3 linked regions of the Macaca mulatta genome follow. The protein of the gene in region 1 purifies or fractionates together with the protein of each later gene. This does not show direct contact. Links are inferred from orthologs where the notes say so. Each region holds a gene or a part of one and is shown in the gene's direction. Other genes may lie near its edges.

Region 1 (7,870 bases):
GTGGCCTAATAGAACTAGTAAACTTTAAAAAATAAGAATAAAAACGTGCAACAATAAGGAAAGTGAAGAAAACACACAAGAAAAGGCAATTAGATGAGCAGAAGACACTATTTCCACTGAAAAAAATAGGAAAGAAAATAATCGTTCATAAATATTATTGGGAAATGTATTAATTAACAAAAAAATAAGGTATGAACATTTCCCCCAAAGTTACACCAAAATAAAAACCACATACAATAGAATGTTCAAAAATGTGGGGAAGTGTAAACTTTGGAAAATGTTTAAAATAATAATGTTATAAAAATTGAGGTAGAGAAGCTTAAAAATCAATGGAAGCAATCACAGTCATTGTAAAAACACCAGAGACAATTTTAAGGAAATATGATACCAAGGAAACTTTCTTTTTTTTTTTTTTTTTTTTTTTTTTCTGTGAGTAAGGAAGAAAGTCTTGAGTAAGGTATCCTCCAAAAAGAGACATATATGAATAATAAATCTATGAATAATTGTAACTTAAATTGTAAAGGAAGAAGTAAAAAAAAGTTACAAAATGAGGTAACTTTTTTACATACTAAATTGTGTACACACACACAAAAGATATAAGTATGGATTTGGAAGTGGTGAACTAAAAATTCTCTCTTACTGCTGGAAATGTAAACTCAGTATGAATTTTACTGAGGTTAACACTTCAGTGCATCCTAATAACATACAACAATGTTAATATAATTTCCAGGAAGTCTATGTCTTACAGAAATAATCAGAATACACTCAAAGATGTAAATGGAACTGGAGATAGATAGGACATTGATGGATGGATGGATAGATAGATAGGTAGGTAGTTAGAGATAAACATAATTTACATGAGTGGAAAACTAGAAATCAATTTGTAGAACTAATAATGGAAATTGTTAAACTAGAGAAGCCATTACAATTTTTGTTTTTGAAAAAACAAAAAATTGACAAGGGCAAATGCTCCCAATAAAATAACCTAGCTCAAAGTGTAGTTACATGCTAGGTATTGTCTAAATAATCAGTCATAGGGGAACAATTTAAAACAGTGAAATAAAAGTAAAGTAAAAATAAACAAGTTGGCCGGGCGCGGTGGCTCAAGCCTGTAATCCCGGCACTTTGGGAGGCCGAGACGGGTGGATCACGAGGTCAGGAGATCGAGACCATCCTGGCTAACACGGTGAAACCCCATCTCTACTAAAAAATACAAAAAATTAGCCGGGCATGGTGGCGGGCACCTGTAGTCCCAGCTACTCGGGAGGCTGAGGCAGGAGAATGGTGTAAACCCAGGAGGCAGAGCTTGCAGTGAGCTGAGATGCGGCCACTGCACTCCGGCCTGGGCGACAGAGCGAGACTCCGTCTCAAAAAAAAAAAAAACAAAACAAAAACAAACAAACAAAAAAAACCAACAAGTTAAGTACCACCAAATAGGCATAGGATACTATGAAACTACAAAAGTTAGATGTTTGACAAATTTTGGTTGATATAGGTCAAATTATGTGAGAAAGAATAACTGGGTATGTGTGCATATATGATCATATATTTAATATTTAGCTATACATAGAACAAATTGATAATTTATATAAAATGTAGTTCTTTTTTTTTCATTTTTTTAATGAACCTTTATTATTTTATAAAGAGAAAGTTACATTTAAGTAAATATTGAACAGGGGAAGCCTAAAGTTGTCATCCAATGTAAGAAATTTCATGTGTCATACAGAATAAGTATAAATAAATTTTATAAATTCTCCACAAAATTATCCTTGAATCCCACCATAATACTACATAACAGAATAACATTTTTTGAAAATATGAAACATTAAGTACATATTCAGTAAGTTTTTCTATTGCATATATCAATATTATTAGCTATAGTTTTGCGTAGAGTTTACTTTCCTGAAAGCTCAGTATAATTAACTTCAACTCCATTAACTGTATCACAACTGCTGTTAGTTATATATATATACTTAATTCAGTAAAATTAGATGCACCAAAACTCTTTGGCTCTGTAAGATATAGTTTTGAGATATATTTGACATTGTTTAGAAAAATGCATAGGGAGTGTTAAATAAAGTATCACTAAGTAATATGCAGGTTACTCTTAGGATAATATGTAAAATTTAAATTACCACTAGATGTTTATAACTGATATAAGATCATGTACTTTGTTTACATGTTTGAATCATAGATTTCATTTTAAGTATAGTTAATTTAATGAAAACTCATCAATTATTCATCAATTAGTATAAATGTATTTAAAAAATTGTTTTTGAGGTTTTACAAAGTTCTCTGCAAGAGCAACAAAGTGGCCTAAACTATCTCAGCACCACTGTGAAAGAGATGTCAAAGAAAGCCCCCTCTGAAATCAGCCGAAAATATCAATTAGAATTTGAAGAAATTGAGACACGCTGGAAGAAGCTCTCCTCCCAGCTAGCCGAGCATTGTCAAAAGCTAGAGGAGCAAATGAATAAACTCCGAAAAATTCAGGTAATTCAAGATTTTACTTTCTACACTCATTTTTATGTACTTGTTATTTTCCTAACAATACACTGTAAACTGTAAAGGTACGCAAACATTTGACCTCCAGCATCTTTCAAAGTTAGTGATAAGATGAAAAGACATGAGTCTTTTACAAAGGATGGTGATTTGCTTATTCCTTCTAAGAAAAGAATAAGAGTTTTCTCAGTTTTTTGTAGAATTAATTTGCTATTTTCACCATTACCAATAGGAATTAAACATGTTTTTAGTTTAATGATTTTCAAAACCAATCATTCATTTAGTCTGGTTGTCTTTTAAGATGCAGGTAATCATTTATCTTATGACTAGGAAACAGTTATGTATATATACATTAGTATATGTATAATGTATAGTATGTGTATTATTATTTCCTATATTACGTTTTGTTTCTGCTGTTTTGCTATTATAAAAAGTATGAGTAAACTATGCTGTCTACATGTGCTATTATGTATATAAAATACAGTGATATAATCATAAAATTGTATTATATATTAATCCCATTATGTATAACTCCATATATGTATATGTGTAGGAGAAATGTAGGTGTATTAATGTCCTGTGACACTCCTAAGAAATTACCACAAATTTAATGGCTTCAAACAACATAATTTATTATATTACAGTTCTGGAGGTCGGAAGTTCAGAATTAGTCTCTGTGGGCTAAAATTAAGGTGTTAGCAGAACTGTGTCTGTTTTGGAGGCTTTAAAAGAGAATGTGTTTTATTGGCATTTTTAGCTTCCATATGTATGTATATATACACACATATAATGTGTACATATGTGTATATATGTGCATATAATTGAATTATATATCATGTACATATATACATATCTAAAGTAATCATATATCACATATGTAACATGTTATGTATATTAATGTTACATATGTAAGATATAGTAATTATTTTATCACCATGTTGAATTTGTAATTATATGCTTAAATTTTACCCCATCACCTTCTTCCTGAAACCAAATGCTCTTGACTTAATTTGTTTGAATAGTGCCATCATAGTAATAACCACTCAAACTAAAGAAAAACAGTAAACCGACAATTGCATTAAGATCTAAAAGCCTGAATTATTCAGTGAGGTAAGTAATGTGTCCCTTGAGTGGTCAATTATTGTGAAAAATGTTAATACTGGGAAGGAAATGTCAAAAACATTATGGTATGATGGAAAAACATTGCAACAAGATGCTCCTGGATTTAAATCCCAGCCTAGCTACTTAGTTTTTGTGCTTACCTTTTACAAACCGAAGCACTAAGCAAACCTAAAACATTCTTAAATGCATAGCATGTCTTTACTTATAAACATATGTGTACATGCATACCTATGTAAATACTGCATGAAAATATCTATTATTTACCACGACCAGTGGCCTAAGAGGACACAATTACATGCCTCTTGTCATCAGTGAGTCCACATTCTAGCGAAGGAGGAATGTAGATATATTCGTTTCCTATGGCATCCTAACAAACTGCCAGAAATTTAATAGCTTCAAACAACACAAATTTATTACAGTTCTGGAAGTCAGAAGCTCAGAATTAGTCTCAGTGGGCTAAAATTAAGGTGTCAGCAGGACTGTGTGTGTTTTGGAGGCTTTGAGAGAGTCTGTTTTTTGGCATTTTTAGCTTCTAGAAGCATTCCTTGGCTCATATCCCCATCCTCCATCTTCAGTGTCAGCAGTGTAACATCGTCCAGTGTCAGTTTCTCTCTCCCTCTCTATCTCCATCTCCCTCTCATTCTACCTCTCCTCCTCCTCTTCCTCTCCCTGTCCTGTTCCTTGTGTTGACTTCCTTTTAATTAGGACCTTTGTGATTACATTATGCCCAGGTGGATGATCCAGTATAATCTCCCCATCTCAAAATCCTTAAAGTAATCACATCTGCAAAGTCCTTTCTGTCATGTTGGGTAATGTACTCACAGGTTTCAGAGATTAGGGTGTAGACATCTTGGGGGTAACATTATTCAGCCTTCCATGGTAAATAAAGCAATATGGGAAAGGTTGTCACAGTAGGCAGGAAGGAAATCTAACATAAACTAGAAAAAAAGATTGTGAAATATTATTGGAACATAGATTATCTCTGCTATAGATTGAATAGGTAGAATTTAGTTAGATAATACCGAGAAAGGAAGAGTTCTTGAGAAAGCATCGCAGCATTTTCAGTTAACTGGAATAAGTTCAACATTGGGGAGACAATATATATGGGGATTAATAAAATATTATGGTTGGAAAACTGGTTTGGGAGTAGACAGTGAATGGCCTTGGATGCCACGTTTTACGATCTGAGTTTTAATCTAATGGTAATGAGAGTGATAACAATAACAATAAGAAAAAACTGCTATTGGTTAAAGAGGGAAATAATATGATTCCACTTGTGTTTTCAAAACACTCCCATGGCAAGAGGAAGGAGGAGAAGAGAAGATTCCTGGCTTCACTGTAGATCAATAATTAGAATGAGGTAAGACCGAAGCAGATATCAAAATGAGCCAGTGCATTAATGGAGTCAGTAATAAGACCTGAACAGACCAGGCATAGTGGCTCACACCTGTAATCCCAACACTGTGAGAGGCCGAGGTGGGTAGATCACGAGGTCCAGAGATCAAGACCATCCTGGCCAACATGGTGAAACCTCGTCTCTACTAAAAATACAAAAATTAGCTGGGCATGGTGGTGCACACCTGTAGTCCCAGCTACTTGGGAGGCTGAGGCAGGAGTAATCACTTGAATCTGGGAGGTGGAGGCTACAGTGAGCCAAGATTGTGCCACTTCACTCCAGCCTGGGTGACGGAGCAAGACTCCGTCTCAAAAAAAAAAAAAAAAAAGACCTGAGCAAGGACAGTGAAGATGTGGAAAAAGAGCAAATGTAGACTTGAAAGACAACAGCAAGGTGATCATGTTGAAGTTCTCTGACTTAGATAAGTGCTTTAAAAATTATTATTAATCATCATATTAAAGGGGAAACTTTCTGTGGAGCATGTATTTTCAATATACATTTAAGTAAATTGGAAGAAAACTCATGTAGACAGTAGAGTTCAATCATACTTTTTAAAAGTAGCGAAACAGCAGAAAGAAAGGTAATATGGCAAAGAATCATGGATGAGAGATATTGGCTATTTATAAATGATAAAAGATGATGATTTTTACCTGATCATTACTTCATACTGGTCAGACAAATAAAAACAAAAGCTCTCTCTTCTAAGATGACAAAATCTTAGTCCGAAAGTTCACAACTGGAGGGACTATTTAAACTGTCATCTGTAGAAAACAATTTGTGAAGTTCGAGTTTAGGGAGGCTATGAAGACACCATTACATTGAGTTTATTGTTCATAGTTTGTTTTATGTACTGTAAGGGCATATTGTTAGTATTCTCATGAGTTGTTTTGTAACTTAAAATTTCTCTAGAGGGGGATATGATTTAATGTTCTTGAGAGTAACATCATAAAACCGCATTTGGTAGTAATTTTTTATTTTTAACAATAGCAGACTTCACACACCAGTGCTCATACAGTAGACCATAAAAACGCAGTCTTAGTAAAAATATTCTTTTCCTCAAGAGCTACTTAGAGACATCCTTTAAACATGGGAATCGTTTTTGGGCTTGTGTTTAGACATAACACAATGATGAATTGTATTAGAAGTAATCAGCACACCAGTAATGCCTTATAATGGGTCTCGTTTCAGAATCACATACAAACCCTGAAGAAATGGATGGCTGAAGTTGATGTTTTTCTGAAGGAGGAATGGCCTGCCCTTGGGGATTCAGAGATTCTAAAAAAGCAGCTGAAACAGTGCAGAGTACGATTTTTATATGATGTCTTTAATATGAATAATTTTGTATGAATATTACTTGGTTAGATCAGTGTTTTACAGCTGGGGTGGATTTTGCCCTCCCCTCACCAGCAGATGTTTTTTTTAATGCTTGTAGACATTTTTGATTGTCATAACTGGGTTGGGGGTGGTGGTTAGATGCTACTGGTGTCTAGTAGGTAGAGGACAGAGATGCTGCTAAGTATCTTTCAGTCCATTGAACAGCCCTCCACAACAAGGAACTGCACAATCTAAAATGTCACTAGTGCCAATGTTGAGAAACCCTGGGTTGAGTAAGTGAGGAATTGAGAAAGCATTGCCTTGTACTCAACGTCAGTTGATAACATTATTTTGCTATAAAATGCAGTATAATTTAAAGGTAAAGAATCCTTTGAGCTACTTGTTATTTCTTACAACAAATTATTATTCATACTGTGTTGTTCTCTTCATGTATAATGCACTGTACTATAACACAATATGTAGTTTTGAAATAATATTCAGTATACCACTGTCATGCAGCAGGAAGAAAATAATCTTGCTCTTTAAAGAATTTTTTTTTACAATACAAGCTAAAAAAGCAAATCCACCTTCACACCCATTACACTGTAAACAATTATCTGCAATATCCTGTGTTTGAAAATGAAAATACTAACCAAGATAGTAAAGTATGAAGCCCATTTTCACACATTTTTCTAACCAGAAATATTAGATTTATTTCCTTTTGTTTCTGATATAAGTAAAATACAAATAATTCCCCACTGGATTCATGCCATAATAACCATTGAACATTTTTGCAAGACTGTTATGCAGTTGTCTATATCAATATATTTGTATCTCAGATTTTAAAAGACAAAAATCCATATGCGATGCCATCAGTCCTAATTTTACATTTTCTAGCTATGTTGCATATTTAATATGTGGCAGTAATTTTTTCAGCTGGCTTAAATTGATTCATTTTCTTAGCTTTTAGTCAATGATATTCAGACAATTCAGCCCAGTCTAAACAGTGTCAATGAAGGTGGGCAGAAGATAAAGAATGAAGCAGAGCCAGAGTTTGCTTTGAGACTTGAGATAGAACTGAAAGAACTTAACACTCAGTGGGATCACATGTGCCAACAGGTATGGACAATGTCTTTCACTGTGGCTAGTCTCAATGTAGTTAAGATTTCCTAATGTCTCCCTTCACCATTACTTTTGTTTAAGGCTTTGTTCCTACGCTGTTGCTTTAAAGCACAATTAATTCTGACAAATTAATCTTTTTTCTAGCATATATAAATATTTTCATAGTATGTATTTTAAATAGTACACATTCATCTTATTGTGGTCCTAAAATGACTTTCTTGAAACAGCTGTCATACTGAAAAATGAAATCCTATTCGTAGTCATTATTTCCAATCCACGTTTTCTTCAGAACATAAATGTATAATAATAGATTAAGAAAAATACATTTCACAGGGATATTTGGTACAAAATAAAATGAATGGGTAATATATGTGTATGTAGAAATAGGGTAAATAATTTTTACTTTTGATTAAC
Region 2 (7,870 bases), on another chromosome or scaffold:
ATGGTCTCGATATCCTGACCTTGTGATCCGCCCGCCTCGGCCTCCCAAAGTGCTGGGATTACAGGCTGAGCCACCGCGCCCAGCCTAGTAAATATTTTTAAATAATGTTTAAGAAAATAACTTTAACTCTTCTACTGATTACCATTAACATTTTTTAACTCTTCTCTAACTTTCTAATTTAGGGAAGGAAAAAGAAAGGTAGCTACTGTATTTATTGAATGTTTAGTATGTGCCTGAAATTTTTATTTGCTTAGTGTTACTCTCATTTTGTAGATGAGGACCTCAGAACAGTTAAGGGTGGTCACATAGCTTTGAGTAGAAGCACAGTTAGGTTTTGAACCAGGTCTTCTTGATTCCAAAGGCATCTCTATGACCACATCATGCTGTAGAATTAGCTATCAACTATTAGGCCAATAAAAGACTATCATCAACCTTATTAAATAAAGAAAACCAAGGCACAGCACAGTAAGCATAATATACTACCATATGTATGATCAGATATACATGCACATGTATGTGTTTACTTTCATACATGCTTGGCATACCAGGCATCTCTTTGAATGGTTGCCTCCAGGAATGGAGACAGGGTAGCTAGAAATCTGGAGTTTTATTATAAAACCTTTTATACCTCTTGAGTTTTATTTTATGTGCATATTTTACTTATTCACAGGAGAAACTCTGTGTACCACTGTGCCCAGCCAGTTTGTCTAGTTTTTGAAACAAGAACACCATGCCTCAAGTGATAGTAATTGTAGTCATGACTGAAGTAAAAGAAGAGTTTCATGAGTTTTAAAATTGAACTTAAAAAAGCTTTCTATTTACTAAAAGCTTGATTTTCATTTGGGGCTACATTAATGGAAACAGAGTATTTTGAACAAGCAAGCGGGATCAGTTGAGTTGGCTTTGTGCTTATTAGATCATACCTTATCTTGAATATGCTTTATTTTTGCACTTTTAAGAACTGTAATGATTTTAAGAACTGTAATGACCTGTTTACATAGCTGTCTCCCCTGCAAGGCTGGGCATTCCTTGAGGGATAGAATCCATGGCTCATTTGCCCTCGTGTCCTTACTAGCTAGCCTAATTCCCAACACTTGATAGGTAGCTAATAAAAGTTGATTGAATTGAATGGAAATAGAAATACTTGGCTTAATATGGGGAGGAGAGAGAAGAGAAAAATCTGTCTTCAGATAATTATAGAGTTCTCATGTAAAAGAGAGATTAAGTTTGTTTTATATGACTTGAGAAGACAGGGAACCAATGGGTAGAAGTATGGAGAAGTTTCTAAAGGTTGAGTCATCTAAAGCCTAGATGGGTCTGACTTTGAATCTATCTCCAGCGGATTCATGGCTCTTTAACTTACTTTTTTTCCCCCACTTTTTCTTTGTTTGTTTGTTTGTTTTTGAGGCAGAGTCTTGCTCTGTCGCCCAGACTGGAGTACAATGGCACAATCTCGGCTCACTGCAACCACTGCCTCCTGGGTTCAGGCGATTCTTCTGCCTCAGCTTCCTGAGTAGTTGGGACTACAGGCGTGTGCCACCACGCCCACCTAATTTTTTGTATTTTTGGTAGAGATGGGGTTTCACCATGTTGACCAGGCTGGCCTCGAACTCCTGACCTCAAGTGATCCACCTGTCTTGGCCTCCCAAAGTGCTGGGATTACAGGTGTGAGCTACCGCGCCCAGCCATTTCCCCCACTTTGTTATAGATATAGCATGTATGTGAATACTTTAGTTATCATTTATTATAGGAAGCAAAATTACTAACCACCTTCTTTGATTTTTTTGTTCATAGTCAAGTTCATCCGAGAAGTAACACCATATATCAAGAAGCCATCATTAGTATCAGATCTGCCGTGGGAAGGTGCAGCCCCCCAGTCACCAAGCTTTAGTGGCAGTGAGGACTCTGGTTCGCCAAAACACCAGAACAGCACCAAAGACAGGAAGATCATCCCTCTCAAAATGTGCTTTGCTGCTAGAAACCTAAGCATGCCGGATCTGGAAAACAGGTGAGGTGTACCTAACAAGATCATCATACCTACAGCTTTACAAACTTAAGGACATGTTGCAGTATTATATGACTCTGTTAACTTAATTATACAGAGGAAAACATCAGTCTAAGGTGAGAGATGCATTTTTGGGGTTCCACATTTTAAGTTATTCTACATATATACATGTATATGTGTAGAAAAAATTTTGGACAGGCACACAAGAAACAGTTAATGGCTTTACCCCTAAGGTGTCAAATAAGATTAAGGGAGAGAAAGAAAGAGGGGGCATCTTCTCTTCCTTTTATATCTTTCCATAATGTTGTTATTACTTTTTTCACTATGAATATGTATTACTTTATAATTGAAAGAATTCTTGTTAAAGAGAAATTTTTAAGTATCTCCTTAGATGGAAATTCCTTAGACTGTAGGTAGTATAGAGTTAGAGATCTGCATTATGGTTTTGGCTGAATCAACCAGCAGTGTGACTCTGGCAAGTTAGCTCCCCTTGACCTCAGTTTCCTCATTTGCAAAATGAGAAAATTAGATTGGATGATTTCTGATGTCCCTCCTAGTTCTATAATCATATGTGTTCTGTAACTTTGTCTTCATTAACTCCATGAAGTGGCACTGGTAGACCGAATGTTAAGTTAGAGATTAGGGGAAAAAATAAGATGAAAATAACTTGCCCAAAGACATAGTTAAGGACAGACTTTTTATAATGTGTTTTCACTATTATGGTCTCCTCTGATCTTAATGCACAGCCAGGTGCCTGATCAGGATGGAATGGAGCACAGAAGACACCAAGAAACTGAATTGCCTCCTTGGGTTTTTAAGGCCTCCTTGGGTATTTAAGGCTTCAAAGCTTCTGCTCTGTAGTATTTTACAAGGTTTGCTGGAATGAACTGAGCTCTGCAGTCGGATAGATCTTGGTGTGAATCCCAACTAGGTCACCTGCTCAAAGTAAGGTTCTGAGCAAGTCCCTTCACTTCTATACAACACCATATCATCATCTGTAAAAAAAGGGATAATGATACTTAGTGTGCTGATTATATGAGATGGTACCTGTAAAGGCCCTTACACAGAGCCAAGCACATACAGTAGGTTCTCAAGAAATAGTATTTTTAAAAAGTCTTAACTCTGCTGAGCACAATGGCTCACACCTGTAATCCCAGCACTTTGGGAGGCCAGGGTTAGAGAATTGCTTAAAGCTAGAATTTAAGACCAGTTTGGGCAACATAGTGAATCGCTGCCTTTACGGCATTTAAAAAAAAAATTAGCCAGACTTACTGGCGTGCACCTGTAGTCCTAGCTACTTGGGAGGCTAGGGTGGGAGGATCACTTGAACCCAAGAGTTCAAGGCTGCAGTGAGCTAGGATTTTGCCACTGCACTGTAGCCTGGGTGACAGAACAATATCCTGTCTCTTAAGAAAAGTCTTTTTTTTATTTTTATTTTTTTTTGAGACGGAGTCTCGCTGTGTCGCCCAGGATGGAGTGCAGTGGCGCGATCTCAGCTCACTGCAAGCTCCGCCTCCTGGGTTTACGCCATTCTCCTGCCTCAGCCTCCTGGGACTACAGGCGCCCGCCACCTCGCCCGGCTAGTTTTTTGTATTTTTTAGTAGAGACGGGGTTTCACCGTGTTAGCCAGGATGGTCTCGATCTTCTGACCTCGTGATCCGCCCGCCTCAGCCTCCCAAAGTGCTGGGATTACAGGCTTGAGCCACCGCGCCCGGCCAAGAAAAGTCTTAACTGACTACTATGTAAACACGTTTTGAAAATTATATTCTGATATATTTAAATTTTTGGCTTTGTTTTAAAAGTTCAAGACATTGTAGAAATTACTTTGTGCTACGTATAGGTTTATTCCTGGAAGGTTGTATGTATGTTGAATCATCTAAGTGCAACACAGCTTGATCTTTAAAGAAATTTTGTATTCTTTTCATAAAGTAATAATTTAATTTGGGCTGGGATAGGTGGCTCACGCCTGGAATCCCAGCACTTTGGGAGGCTGAGGCAGGTGGATCACTTGAGGTCAGGAGTTTAAGACCAGCCTGGCAAACATGGTGAAACCCTGTCTCCACTAAAAATACAAAACTTAGCCAGGTGTGGTGGCAGGCACCTGTAATCCCAGCTACTTGGAAGGCTGAGGCAGAAGAATTGCTTGAACCTGGGAGGCAGAAGTTGCAGTGAGCCGAGATTGCACCACTGCACTCCAGCCTGGGTGGCAGAGCAAGACTCTGTCTCAAGAACAAATAAATAAATAAATAAATAAAATAAATGAGATACATTTGAGCCAGACATGGTGGCGGCTCACACTTATCTCAGTACTTTGGGAGGCTGAGGCAGGAGAATTGCTTGAGGCCAGGAGTTTAAGACTAGCTTGGGCAATATAACAAGACCCTATCTCTACCAAAAAAAAAAAGAGAGAGAGAGAGAAAAGAGATACATTTATATAGAGCAGTTGGTCTGTTAATTATGGGCTTTTTTTTTTTTTAAGTTAGGGACCATAGAGAATTAAATAGAATAGAGAAACAATGTGATAAAGAAAAACAAATTACAACTACATTTGTCAACTAGCTGTCAGGCTGAGAAAAGTACAGAGTCAATTTTGTTATAAATCATTTCTTTTTTTTTTTTTTTTTTGAGACAGGCTTCACTCCCATCGCCCAGGCTAGAGTACAATGGCATGGTCTCAGCTCACTGCAACCTCTGCTTCCTGGGCTCAAGTAATTCCCCTGCCTCAGCCTCCCAAGTAGCTGGGACTACAGGTACATGCCACTATGCCCAGCTAATATTTGTATTTTTTGTAGAGAAAGGGTTTTGCTACATTGCCCAGAGTGGTCCCCAACTCCTAGATTCCAGCAATCCACTCACTTTGGTTTTCCAAAGTGCTGGGATTACAGGCATGAGCCACCACGCCCGGCAATAAATTATTTCTGAGAATAGGTACCTATAGTGCTGCTGATGTAGCTGGGTATTGAAGAAAAAGGCAAAATGTTATAAAATTTCTATAGAAACCCAGGGTTGTGGGAGTGGGCAAAGAAAGAAGGAAGAAGATGATATGACTTGGCTGTATTGCTAAATGTTGTGCTACTTCATCATTCACTAAGGATTGAAGTCCAGTAACCTTGGTCTTTGTTAAAACTTGGGGGCTGAATTCTCTGACATATTTATACGCTAAAGACATTTGGTGATGGTCACATGTGAAGTAGGTCTTCAGAACCAAATGGAGAGGGCAGTTTGGGGCTACCAGAGTTGTGCTATTATACCTTCCTTTTCAATAAATGATCAGTCTACTTGACCATGGCATACTATATAAGGAAAGGTCTTAGAAGATCCACGCTAGTTTTGAGATTCTCAGTCTTAATGCTTCAAAGCAACTTGTTCTAATTTTACTTAAGATATCAAAATTTGGCCGGGTGCAGTGGCTCCCACCTGTAATCCCAGCACTTTGAGAGGCCAAGGCAGGTGGATCACTTGACATCAGGAGTTTGAGACCGGCCTGGCCAACACAGTGAAACACCGTTTCTACTAAAAATACAAAAATTAGCCAGGTGTGGTGGTGCACGCCTGTAATCCCAGCTATTTGGGAGGCTGAGATAGGAGAATTGCTTGAACTCGGGAGGCAGAGGTTGCAGTGAGCCAAGATTATGGCACTGTGCAAGACTGTGTCTCAAAAAAAATTTTTTAAAAATAAAAAAATTTGCACATTATTTGCTTTTTGTAAAATATAAATTGGAAGAGATTCAAAGTTATTCCTATGATGATACCACTTATACTTGCATTTCCATGTGCTTTTTAGACATAAGAGCATTAGGATTACAAGGAGTTTGCAAAAAATATGCATAATTTCGGCTATACTTATGGGAATATGAACATCTGTGTGTCTTGGCAGAAAAAATGTACAGAACCATTAACTAATTAGACCTCAGTTATGAGAGAAGATAGAAGTTAGGAAGATAGGCTTCGTAATGTTGGTCAGGCTACTTGTTTTCCACAAGCCTTGCATTTCCCCTGTATAAAATAAGATTATAGGAGGATTAAATAAGACAGTAATTATAGAATCAGTAAGTTCTCAAGTTATTATTATAGGCATTGTTAGTGTCCTTGTGACCTTAAATAAGTTCCTTAATTTCTCTGGCCGCCTGTTTTCTCTGTCTGTAGAATGGTCGTAATATCTGCTCAACTATATACTTTAGAATGAGAATAAATAATAATCTATAAAATAACTTGGGGCAGGGGGCTCGTGACTGTAATCTCAGCACTTTGGGAGACCAAGGCAGGCAGATCACTTGAGGCCAGGAGTTTGTGACCCTGTCTCTACTAAAAATAACAAAAAATTGCCCAGGCATGGTGGCACACACCTGTAATCCCAGCTACTCAAGATGCTGAGGCATAAGAATCACTTGAACCTGGGAGGCGGAGGTTGCAGTGAGCCGAGATTGTGCCACTGCACTCCAGCCTGGACACTCCAGGTGACAGAGTAAGATTCTGTCTCAAAAAGAAATAAAAATAAAAATAAAATAATAAAATAACTTGGAGCTCATTGGTCCTTAAATTTATCTCAGCTCTGTTAAAGGAAATATCCATTTGTTCATCTGTTTTTTATTGATGGTCACTTGAGCAATTTCCAGTATAGAGTTAGTATTAATAAAGTCACTGAATATTTTTGTACTTTCCTTTTTTTTCTTCTTCTTCTTCTTCTGGTTTAAAGGCCTCAGAAACTTTTTCATTTCTGTGGGGTAAATTTGTAGGAGTGGAATTGCTGGGTCAAAGGATAGGTGCATATTTAGCTTAAAAAAAAAAAAAAAAACAACTAGTCCAGGCGTGGTGGCTCATGCCTGTAATCCCAGCACTTTGGGAGGCTGAGGCAGGCAGATCACCTGAGGTCAGGAGTTCGAGACCAGCCTGACCAACATGGAGAAACCCCATCTCTACTAAAAATACAAAATTAGCTGGACATGGTGGCTCATGCCTGTAATCCCAGCTACTCGGGAGGCTGAGGGAGGAGAACCGCTTGAACCCGGTAGGCGGAGGTTACCGTGAGCTGAGATCGCACCATTACTTACACTCCAGCCTGGGCAACAAGAGTGAAACTCCGTCTCAAAAACAACAATAACAACAGCAACAAACTGCCAGGCTGGGCACAGTGGCTCATGCCTGTAATCCCAGTACTTTGGGAGGTCGAGAGTGGTAGATCACCTGAGGTCAGGCGTTTGAGACCAGCCTGGCCAACATGGCGAAACCCCATGTCTACTAAAAATAAAAAAAATAAAATAAGCTAAACTGCCAGACTTCCTTCCAAAGTAATTGTGCTATTTTGTGCCATTTTATGTTCCTGCCATTATATGAGAGTTTTCATTGTTTCACATCCTCACCAAAATTGATGTTATCAGTCTTTTTAATATTTACCTTTCTGGTGGGTACATAGTGGAATCTTTTTGTGGCTCATCCTTCATTCGTATCTAAAGCCTTCACTTTCTAAACCAAAAATGTGTTTGATATTAGAGGAAAATGCCTTTTTTTTCTGCTTTACTACTTTGATTTGGTTCCATAGAGCTGAGAAAAAGTAAAAAGTGCTAATGATCAGAATGAGTAAGTACAGGGGAAGAAGAATTTTACTCCCTTCCTCTACCTTGAGTTTTCAAGACCTCATTTGATGCATCTGGTAATTATAAGTATTTCATTTTGAAAAGCAAACACTTAATAAATAATGATGAAGTCCAAGGAGAGAACATGAGCCCCTTCCTTAGCAATCAGTATTGTAGGCAGTATGAAGTTTAGGAAGAACAAGGTGTTCTCAAATACTCCTTTTGGAAATGTAAATCCATGTTCTTTGCATTGGTTCACAGTGCCTCACTCATCTTCACATTGGCTATTTTC
Region 3 (7,870 bases), on another chromosome or scaffold:
TTACTGAAGAGTGAGAACTTAGGGAGAGAATGGAAACTCTCACCTTAGATTTATTACTCATATTTTTGAAATATGCCTAAGAGGCATGAGATTTTTTTCCTCTGTGTGAGGACAGTTGTCACCAAAAGAATTCCCTGTTCCATCACATAAAATTTTTGGTATCTCACTGGGGAGACTGGCTTTGCAAATTCCTTAAAAAGAATACTAATTATGGCTAAAGTTCTCCTAGTGACATCCCACTTTCCAAACCTTCCCTCTTCTACAACTTATGCTTGTGGTAAAACGGTTTAGTCACTGTAAAAGGTTGGTTTCAAATGTTAATGAAGCCAAGTTGCACTGGGTCTTCTAACTCTCAAGCCATCTGCAAAATTGTTATTTTGAAACTCAGGAGCTAGGTGGAACATTATTGGGCATGGTTGTTGATGATGAATACTACACTTCACATCACTGCAGAAGTCAGTGAATGCCCCCCATAGGACATTGTCCAATCTCAAGGAAAGGTATTGTGGTATAGTATTTAAATTCACAGGCTTTTGAGCCTATTTAACATGGGTTTTCATCATTCTCAGCAAACTATTGCAAGAACAGAAAACCAAACACCGCATGTTCTCACTCATAGGTGGGAACTGAACAATGAGATCACTTGGACTTGGGAAGGGGAACATCACACACCAGGGCCTATCATGGGGAGGGGGGAGGGGGGAGGGATTGCATTGGTAGTTATACCTGATGTAAATGACGAGTTGATGGGTGCTGATGAGTTGATGGGTGCAGCACACCAACATGGCACATGTATACATATGTAACAAACCTGCACATTGTGCACATGTACCCTAGAACTTAAAGTATAATAATTAAAAAATAAATAAATAAAAATTAAAAAAAACATGGGTTTGAATCCCAGCACCACCAACAGTGTGGCCTTGGGTAAATTGCTTCTTCCTCTCTCTCTCTCTCCAAAGTTCAATTTTTTCTTCCGTTAAGGGGGGGTTAATAATATCAGTCATAGGGCTATTAGAAGCATTATATATAATAATATAAAATGATTTAAAAGTTTGCCTGGCACATAGTAAATTCTCAGTGAATAATAGCATGATTATTAAGGGATGAAAGGAAGTTAATAAATGGATAATTCTATTCAGCTTTGAATTTCCAAATCCCTGTATCATTCTAATGTAAACATGAATGAATAAATGATATTTATTGCATATACACATGAATGAATATTGGGGTTTTTTTTTCTCTATGCAATTAAAAAGTATCTAAAATTTACAGATACGGAGAACAGGTTAGTTGTTGCCTAGGGACAACAACTAGGTGGGGGTGGGGGACACACGACTAAAAAGGGGTAGTTGCGGGGGAGATTAAAGATCTCTGCTTTGTGGTGATGGAGTAGTTCTGCCTTGTAATTGCAGTGGGGTTTACACAAATCTACACATGAAAAAATGGCATAGAACTACACCTTCACATTGTACCCATGTCAGTTTCCTAGTTTTGATAGTGTACTACAGGAGGTAAAATATAACCACTGGGGGAAACTGGTAAAGGGCATCCCAGACTTCTTTGTTCTATTTGTGCAACTCCATGCTAATCTATAATTACTTCAAAATAAAAAGTTAATGACATAAAGTATCTGTTGAGAATTTCCTTCTTTTACCACAATTACAGTATACAGATTTCTCTGTTTCTTCAGTAATCCAATTAGAGTTCTGGCATAAGCTTTGTCGTTGAACTTTTATTTTTATTTTAGTTTATTTTAGTTTATTTTATTTGAGACTGAGTCTCACTCTGTAGCCCAGGCTAGAGTGCAATGGCTTGATCTCAGCTCACTGCAACCTCTGCCTGCCGGGTTCAAATAATTCTCCCACCTCAGCCTCCTGAGTAGCTGGGATTACAGGCACCTGCCATAATGCCTGGCTAATTTTTGTATTTTTGTAGAGACAGGGTTTCACCATCTTGGCCAGGCTGGTCTTGAACTTCTGACCTCAGGTGATCTGCCCACCTCAGCCTCCCGAAGTGCTGGGATTACAGGCGTGAGCCAGCATGCTGGGCCTGGACTTTAAATACATAATATTTTAAGTGCTCTCTCCCCGTTGTTACCCCTTCCTAAGCCAATTCACACCTTCACACCATGGGTCTGAGGATTAAGTGGACGCTAAATGTGCTACAGACAAAATTCCTAAAAGATGCAAAGTTTGGTCATCTTCGATTCTAAAATATTCTCAATTGATTAACACTGAGCAGCAGGATTAAGCATGTGGCTAGATATATTTCAATCTGTTTCCTGCCAGCACCAGCAAGGATGTGAGTATATTATTAAAATCCTCTGTGAATTAAGAAGTAAGGCAAATTAGTATCAGCTCACAGTTTGGAAGTCTCGATATGATACTACTAATCAGCAAATCAGCTGAATAACAAGAAAATCAGATAACCTTAATTTAGGTGATTTGGTGGTTGCACAGCTGTGTTCCCAGTATGTAGACCAGTACTTGGGCACCCAGTAAATATGCGTGGATGAATTAATGAGTGAATGAATGGATAGCGGGACCATTAAGGCATCCCATGGGAAACTGACAAAGTCTAAAAATAGGAGTAAAGAATTAATTCACCTTTGTGGCCCAGGTCTTGACGAAGCAGGACCTGCCAGGAAACTTTCTAACCCTTTTCTCTATGTTCCTCTAGGCAGCTTGAAATCCACTCTCCAGATGCTAAGCACACAGTGATCCTAAGGAGCAAGGACTCAGCCACTGCCCAGGCATGGTTCAGTGCCATCCATTCCAACGTTAATGACCTGCTGACCCGAGTGATTGCTGAGGTCAGAGAGCAGCTGGGGAAAACAGGCATTGCTGGGAGCCGAGAGATTAGGCATCTTGGCTGGCTTGCAGAAAAGGTAAGAAAAATACCTTCCTCTATAATAGTCATCCTTCCCGAGATTCCCCCAGCGCTCATAACCACTAAAGTTATCTCATTCCATAGGCTGATTCTCTCATTCACAGTCTGTGTGGATTTCTTATCCCTCTCCAGCAGGCTACAGGCCTTTACATTATACAGGGGTTTTGTCTTAATTGAATTTGATTACCTGCATTTAGTTAAACATGTGGCAGATTGCACGGGGTCCAGGTTGTTGGATGATGGATGAACGAGTGAGTTGAGGAATAGTTTGATTTTAACTTCTATGTATGAAGGGAAGGGAAAATAACTCAACCTCAGAACAGAGCTGTTGCTTTGGGAGGCAAGGAAGTCCAAATTATTGCTTCAAAAGGGTTTGTGTGGGTTTTGATGAGCCTGTTTGTTAATAACACAGACACTTTTGAGATGATTCAATTATACATTTACAAGTAACAGCAAGGATTACTTGAGCAATTACTATAAGCTGGCTCTTTTCTTATGTTACCTTATATTTTATTTGTGCTGTTAAGCCAGCCGCTCTTTAATGCCATCATTAAAGAGCACCTATTTTTGTGAGGCACAGTGCGAGGCAGGAGTCGGGGAGGGAGTGAACACATAAAAAGACTTAGCCTCTGTCTCAGAGAGGACAGCTGCTGTGGAAAAGACTTTGGGTCATATTAACACGGTCCCTGATTTCTTTTCCCAAGTTATGGGATATGTTAAAGATAGTAAAACTCACTTTGTGGCCATCTCTTGGGAGTTACTCTTTCTCTCTATTTCAAAGGATTGAGTCTTTGCCATTGTCCTTACATATGATTGCTGTCCCTTGAAGTTGACCTTGAGTGCTCAGGAACGCTGGACTTTGGGGATGATCTGACCTCCCAGTGACTCACTTTCTAATAGACAGTAAATGGGAATAGTGAATGTCACAATAACACGTTTCCTGCCAAAGAACTCTGTCATCTGAGAAGGCCCGGTCATATGGCACCTGGAATAATACCTGAACACACCAGTTGGCTGTTTTCCGTCATTGTGCTTTGTTTGCAGCAGATCATGCCTGGGTCTTAGCCTAACAATTTAACACCAGATGGGTTGTTTGACTTGGTATTGTCCTATCTCTCAGAGATTTCAAAGAACCAAAGGGACAATGCAGGTGATAGGAGCATCCAAATTCATAATAAACACAAACCACCCGTAGCCTTTCATGAGTTTATGTGTTAGGGTTCCTGAAGAAAACAAGACCATAAATCTGGATGGCTGATACGATTTTGAAAGTCACATCTCTATCACTCTCCACTTTCTACTCTCTTCAAATGCATGTGTTTTTATTAGGAAAGGGCCTGATAGTCAAGGATCTTCCCATTACAAGTGGCAGAAAACTCAACTCAATTTAGCCTGAGCAAAATGGGCATGCCTGGGTTCTGATAACTGCAATGTCCAAAGATAAGCTTCAGGCATGGTGGGATCCAGGGACTTAAATAATGTATTAAGTCTAAGTCTCCATCTCTTTCTTTCCCTGTCCTTTCATTAGTTTATTACCAGGCTTCCTCTTTAGTTGGCCTGACGGTTCCAGGCTTATGTTTTCTTTGCTCCTGGTTGTCTCAGTGAAGAATGGCTTCTTTGCCCCAATTGTTCCAACACAAGTCCTGAGATTATAAGTCTAATTGGGTTGACTTGGATAATTTGTTCAGTCTTAGTGCTGAAATCAGCCTCACCTAAGTCATTTGCAGTGAGGATGAGGAGGGGTGGTTCTCTAATGGAAAAAATCAGGTGCTGTGCAAGAAAAACAAGCAATGGATACCAGGGAAGCAAAAGCAACCAACATTTACTGTAGAACAAGAGAAGGAGCTGATTGTGATGAAAAATGCTCTCACTTGGTTAAGGTTCTGGGTGGACTTGGAGATACAGCACATATTTTAGGATCCTGGCAGCAGATGGATGGGAAGGTTGAAAGGGATAATTGGAAAGGATTTAATGCAGGAATAATTTATAAGGTGTAGCCAAGGTTTGGAAAACCAATAAGAGAGAGAGAAGAACTCCAGGGCCAACAGTAGTAAGAGGCCACTACCATCCCTTGACCAGAAAGGGCAAGGAGAAGCAGCAGTTACCTGAGACTAGGGAGGCTTCTAGCTGTAGAAAAGTGCCACCTACTACCACTGTGGTATTTGGAAGAGAAATGCAGCCCCTGCCAACCCCTGCCCACTGACCCCCTGCTGGTGTCTTCCAAAGGCTGAAGCTGGCTGGAAGCCAGAGGCAAGAAGCCCCATGGATGCACTCTTAAGGTGAGTCTCCCAGGGTACAGAGAAGGATGGGAAAGGTAGAGACTGGATCTGAAGGGGCAGAGGGAGGCTGGCCAACACATACAATCTTGCATCTTCCAAGTTGATGGTCTTAATTCTTAGAGGTACTTTTCTCTCATCTCTTTAAATACAAGCTATGTTTAAAATCATTACCATTATTCATGAAATTAAAAAATCTTCCAAAGGTTACTCTTTCTCACCTATAATTTGTCTCATGCCTTTTGCTTATCCCAAATTATTAGCAGACATATTATTAGACATTCTCATGGAACAGTAATAAATGTGCATATAAAGCTCTTCCTGTTTTTAGCATATGATTGTTCTTATGATGTAATTTCAGATCATCATTCCAGAGGTCTCCTTAAGGGTATTATGCAGAGTATCTGTAAGAGCAGTAATGATCATGGATAATTATAAGAAGCAAGAATGTCTTTTATTGTCTTCATTTTCACGCTTCTCAGAAGATTACCATAGATCAAGTTTAAGGGAACAAATCCAAACTGGATTTTTTTGAATAAATATTTAATACTGAATCCTGGTGTGCAGATATATGAATGGTTTTTAGCAAAATGTTACAATGAATGGCAAATCCTTAATACGATGCCTTTCTTATATTATCATAAATACCATGAATTCGCTTGGTATTTGTAAAGACATAAAATGTGATCCTATATCTATCTAGCTGTAATTTATCTTAAATTGACATTCTTTGTCTTTTCCTATGTTGTTATATTTTGATTTTGTAAATTTATCACAGTCACTCTGTGACAAGGTTGTACAGATTATATTTAATTTAGTTTCAAGTTTTTAGAAGTGGCATTTATGTGAACTCAAAAAATATGAAACAACAACTTCCTTTTTAAATTTCCGTTTAGTGCAAATCTTAAAATCTCCTCAACACTATACAGGAGGAAAATTTAGTATTAACATTATTTTTCTTCATGAGATAGTCAGGAGACTTGAAGAATGGCTTCTGAGAAATGACAGGGATTTGAGTGAATGGAGACATTTCCCTGCACTCCAAGAGAGGAGAAAGAAGGAAGGCCTGTGTTAGTATGGCTTGTTGGGGGACTGGGGGGAAAGACCAGAGACTGATCTAAAGTGAAGCGAGAGTTCATCCTGGAGAAAAGTGATAAGAGGACCTGACACCTTGACTAGAACTTGATTATGGAAGATTTTTTTTTTTTAATAGACAGTGTCTCACTATGATGCCCAGGCTGGAAATCCTGGACTCAAGCAATCCTTCTGCCTCAGCCTCCCAAGTAACTGGGACTACAGGTGTGTGCCACTGCACCTGGCTACCAATTATGGAAAATCTGCTTTCGTCTGTGAGCACTGTCACCTGTAGATGGGTCATGTACATCAATGTAAAGCCCTTCCCATGTCCATATTGGCCTCAAATCTTTCTTTCTTTTTTTTCTTTGAGATGGAGTCTCACTCTGTCTCCCAGGCTGGAGTGCAGTGGCGTGATGTTGGCTCACTGCAATCTCTGCCTCTGAGTTCAAGCGATTCTCCTACCTCAGCATCCTGAGTAGCTGCAATTACAGGCACATGCCACCACACCCAGCTAATTTTTGTAGTTTTAGTAGAGATGGGGTTTCGCTCTGTTGGCCAGGCTGGTCTCAAACTCCTGACCTCAGGTGATCTGGCCACCTCGGCCAGATCCTGGGATTACAGGTGTGAGCCAACGCGCCCAGCCAGCCTCAAATCTTTTAACTCCTTGCAAGCCCCCATGTGGCCCAAGATGAGCCACTAACTCCTGTGAATTGTAAAATGCGTCATGCCCCAAACACATTTTTCCCAATCTTTGTTTCTTAGTTCATCTAATCCTTTTACAATTATCGTTACATTTCAGATAAGAGAAAAACAAGCTAAGTTCTGACTCTCCTGCTACTTAGAAAAACAGTAATAAACAGGGACACAGCAGAATTGTTGAGTTATATTTTGTGCTCAGTTCATCAGGCATTCCCTTTGCTTTCCCTTGTTATCTCGGTTTGCAAACTATTTCTTGTCAGATTAAATATGCAAAAACACAACACAGCAAAACAAAAGCCCAGATGGGAGCTCTGAGATGCAAGTTCAGGTATCAGCTTTATTAATTTCCATTTCGTATTCTTTCAAATGGGAGCGTTTAAATAGTTGTGCCTCCCCATGGCGTTACTGGAGAAAAGGAAGTTGGTAATTCATACTTATTATGGGCAATATGCTTCAAATAATCCAAATCCAATGAGGTAAACTTGTAGTATTTGAGTAACTTTTCTAAGATCTCTCCTCTAGTATGCGGTAGATTTAGAATTTGAGCTTCTCTTTCTAACTCCAAAGTCCAGCACTTTCCACTAAGCTGACCTTATAAAGGGGCCCAGGAAACATCTGTCCTTATGAGTAATGCCTCCAACAATCCCATCTAGAGCAGTATCACAGACCAGAAGCACAGTTTCAGAGCTAAAAGACATACTAAGATAATTCAAATCCTTTTAAATTATGAAAATAAGGGAAATTTCCATCCTGGCTAACATGGCGAAACCCCGTCTCTACTAAAAATACAAAAATTAGCTGGGAGTTGTGGCGGGCACCTGTAGTCCCAACTACTCTGGAGGCTGAGGCAGGAGAATGGCGTGAACCCGGGAGGCAAAGCTTGCAGTGAGCAGAGATCACACCACTGCACTCCAGCTTGGGCGACA

The links. Proteins that work in one complex are often made in the same cells at the same time.
Region 2: the proteins of DMD (region 1) and SNTB2 purify together in Homo sapiens (co-immunoprecipitation; 4 studies listed by BioGRID and IntAct, counting the BioPlex papers as one, with this or other methods). This does not show direct contact. The link is inferred for Macaca mulatta from reciprocal best matches to the Homo sapiens genes DMD and SNTB2.
Region 3: the proteins of DMD (region 1) and SNTB1 purify together in Homo sapiens (co-immunoprecipitation; 4 studies listed by BioGRID and IntAct, counting the BioPlex papers as one, with this or other methods). This does not show direct contact. The link is inferred for Macaca mulatta from reciprocal best matches to the Homo sapiens genes DMD and SNTB1.

What each region holds. Positions count from the first base shown.
Region 1 is NC_133426.1:32,396,936-32,404,805, reverse strand, and holds part of DMD (dystrophin), read left to right. Parts: intron 1-2,280; coding exon 2,281-2,493; intron 2,494-6,208; coding exon 6,209-6,322; intron 6,323-7,297; coding exon 7,298-7,453; intron 7,454-7,870. UniProt on the Homo sapiens protein: Anchors the extracellular matrix to the cytoskeleton via F-actin. Ligand for dystroglycan.
Region 2 is NC_133425.1:64,863,025-64,870,894, forward strand, and holds part of SNTB2 (beta-2-syntrophin), read left to right. Parts: intron 1-1,794; coding exon 1,795-2,008; intron 2,009-7,870. UniProt on the Homo sapiens protein: Adapter protein that binds to and probably organizes the subcellular localization of a variety of membrane proteins. May link various receptors to the actin cytoskeleton and the dystrophin glycoprotein complex.
Region 3 is NC_133413.1:131,022,604-131,030,473, reverse strand, and holds part of SNTB1 (beta-1-syntrophin), read left to right. Parts: exon of another isoform or gene 1-723; intron 724-2,682; coding exon 2,683-2,890; intron 2,891-7,870. UniProt on the Homo sapiens protein: Adapter protein that binds to and probably organizes the subcellular localization of a variety of membrane proteins. May link various receptors to the actin cytoskeleton and the dystrophin glycoprotein complex.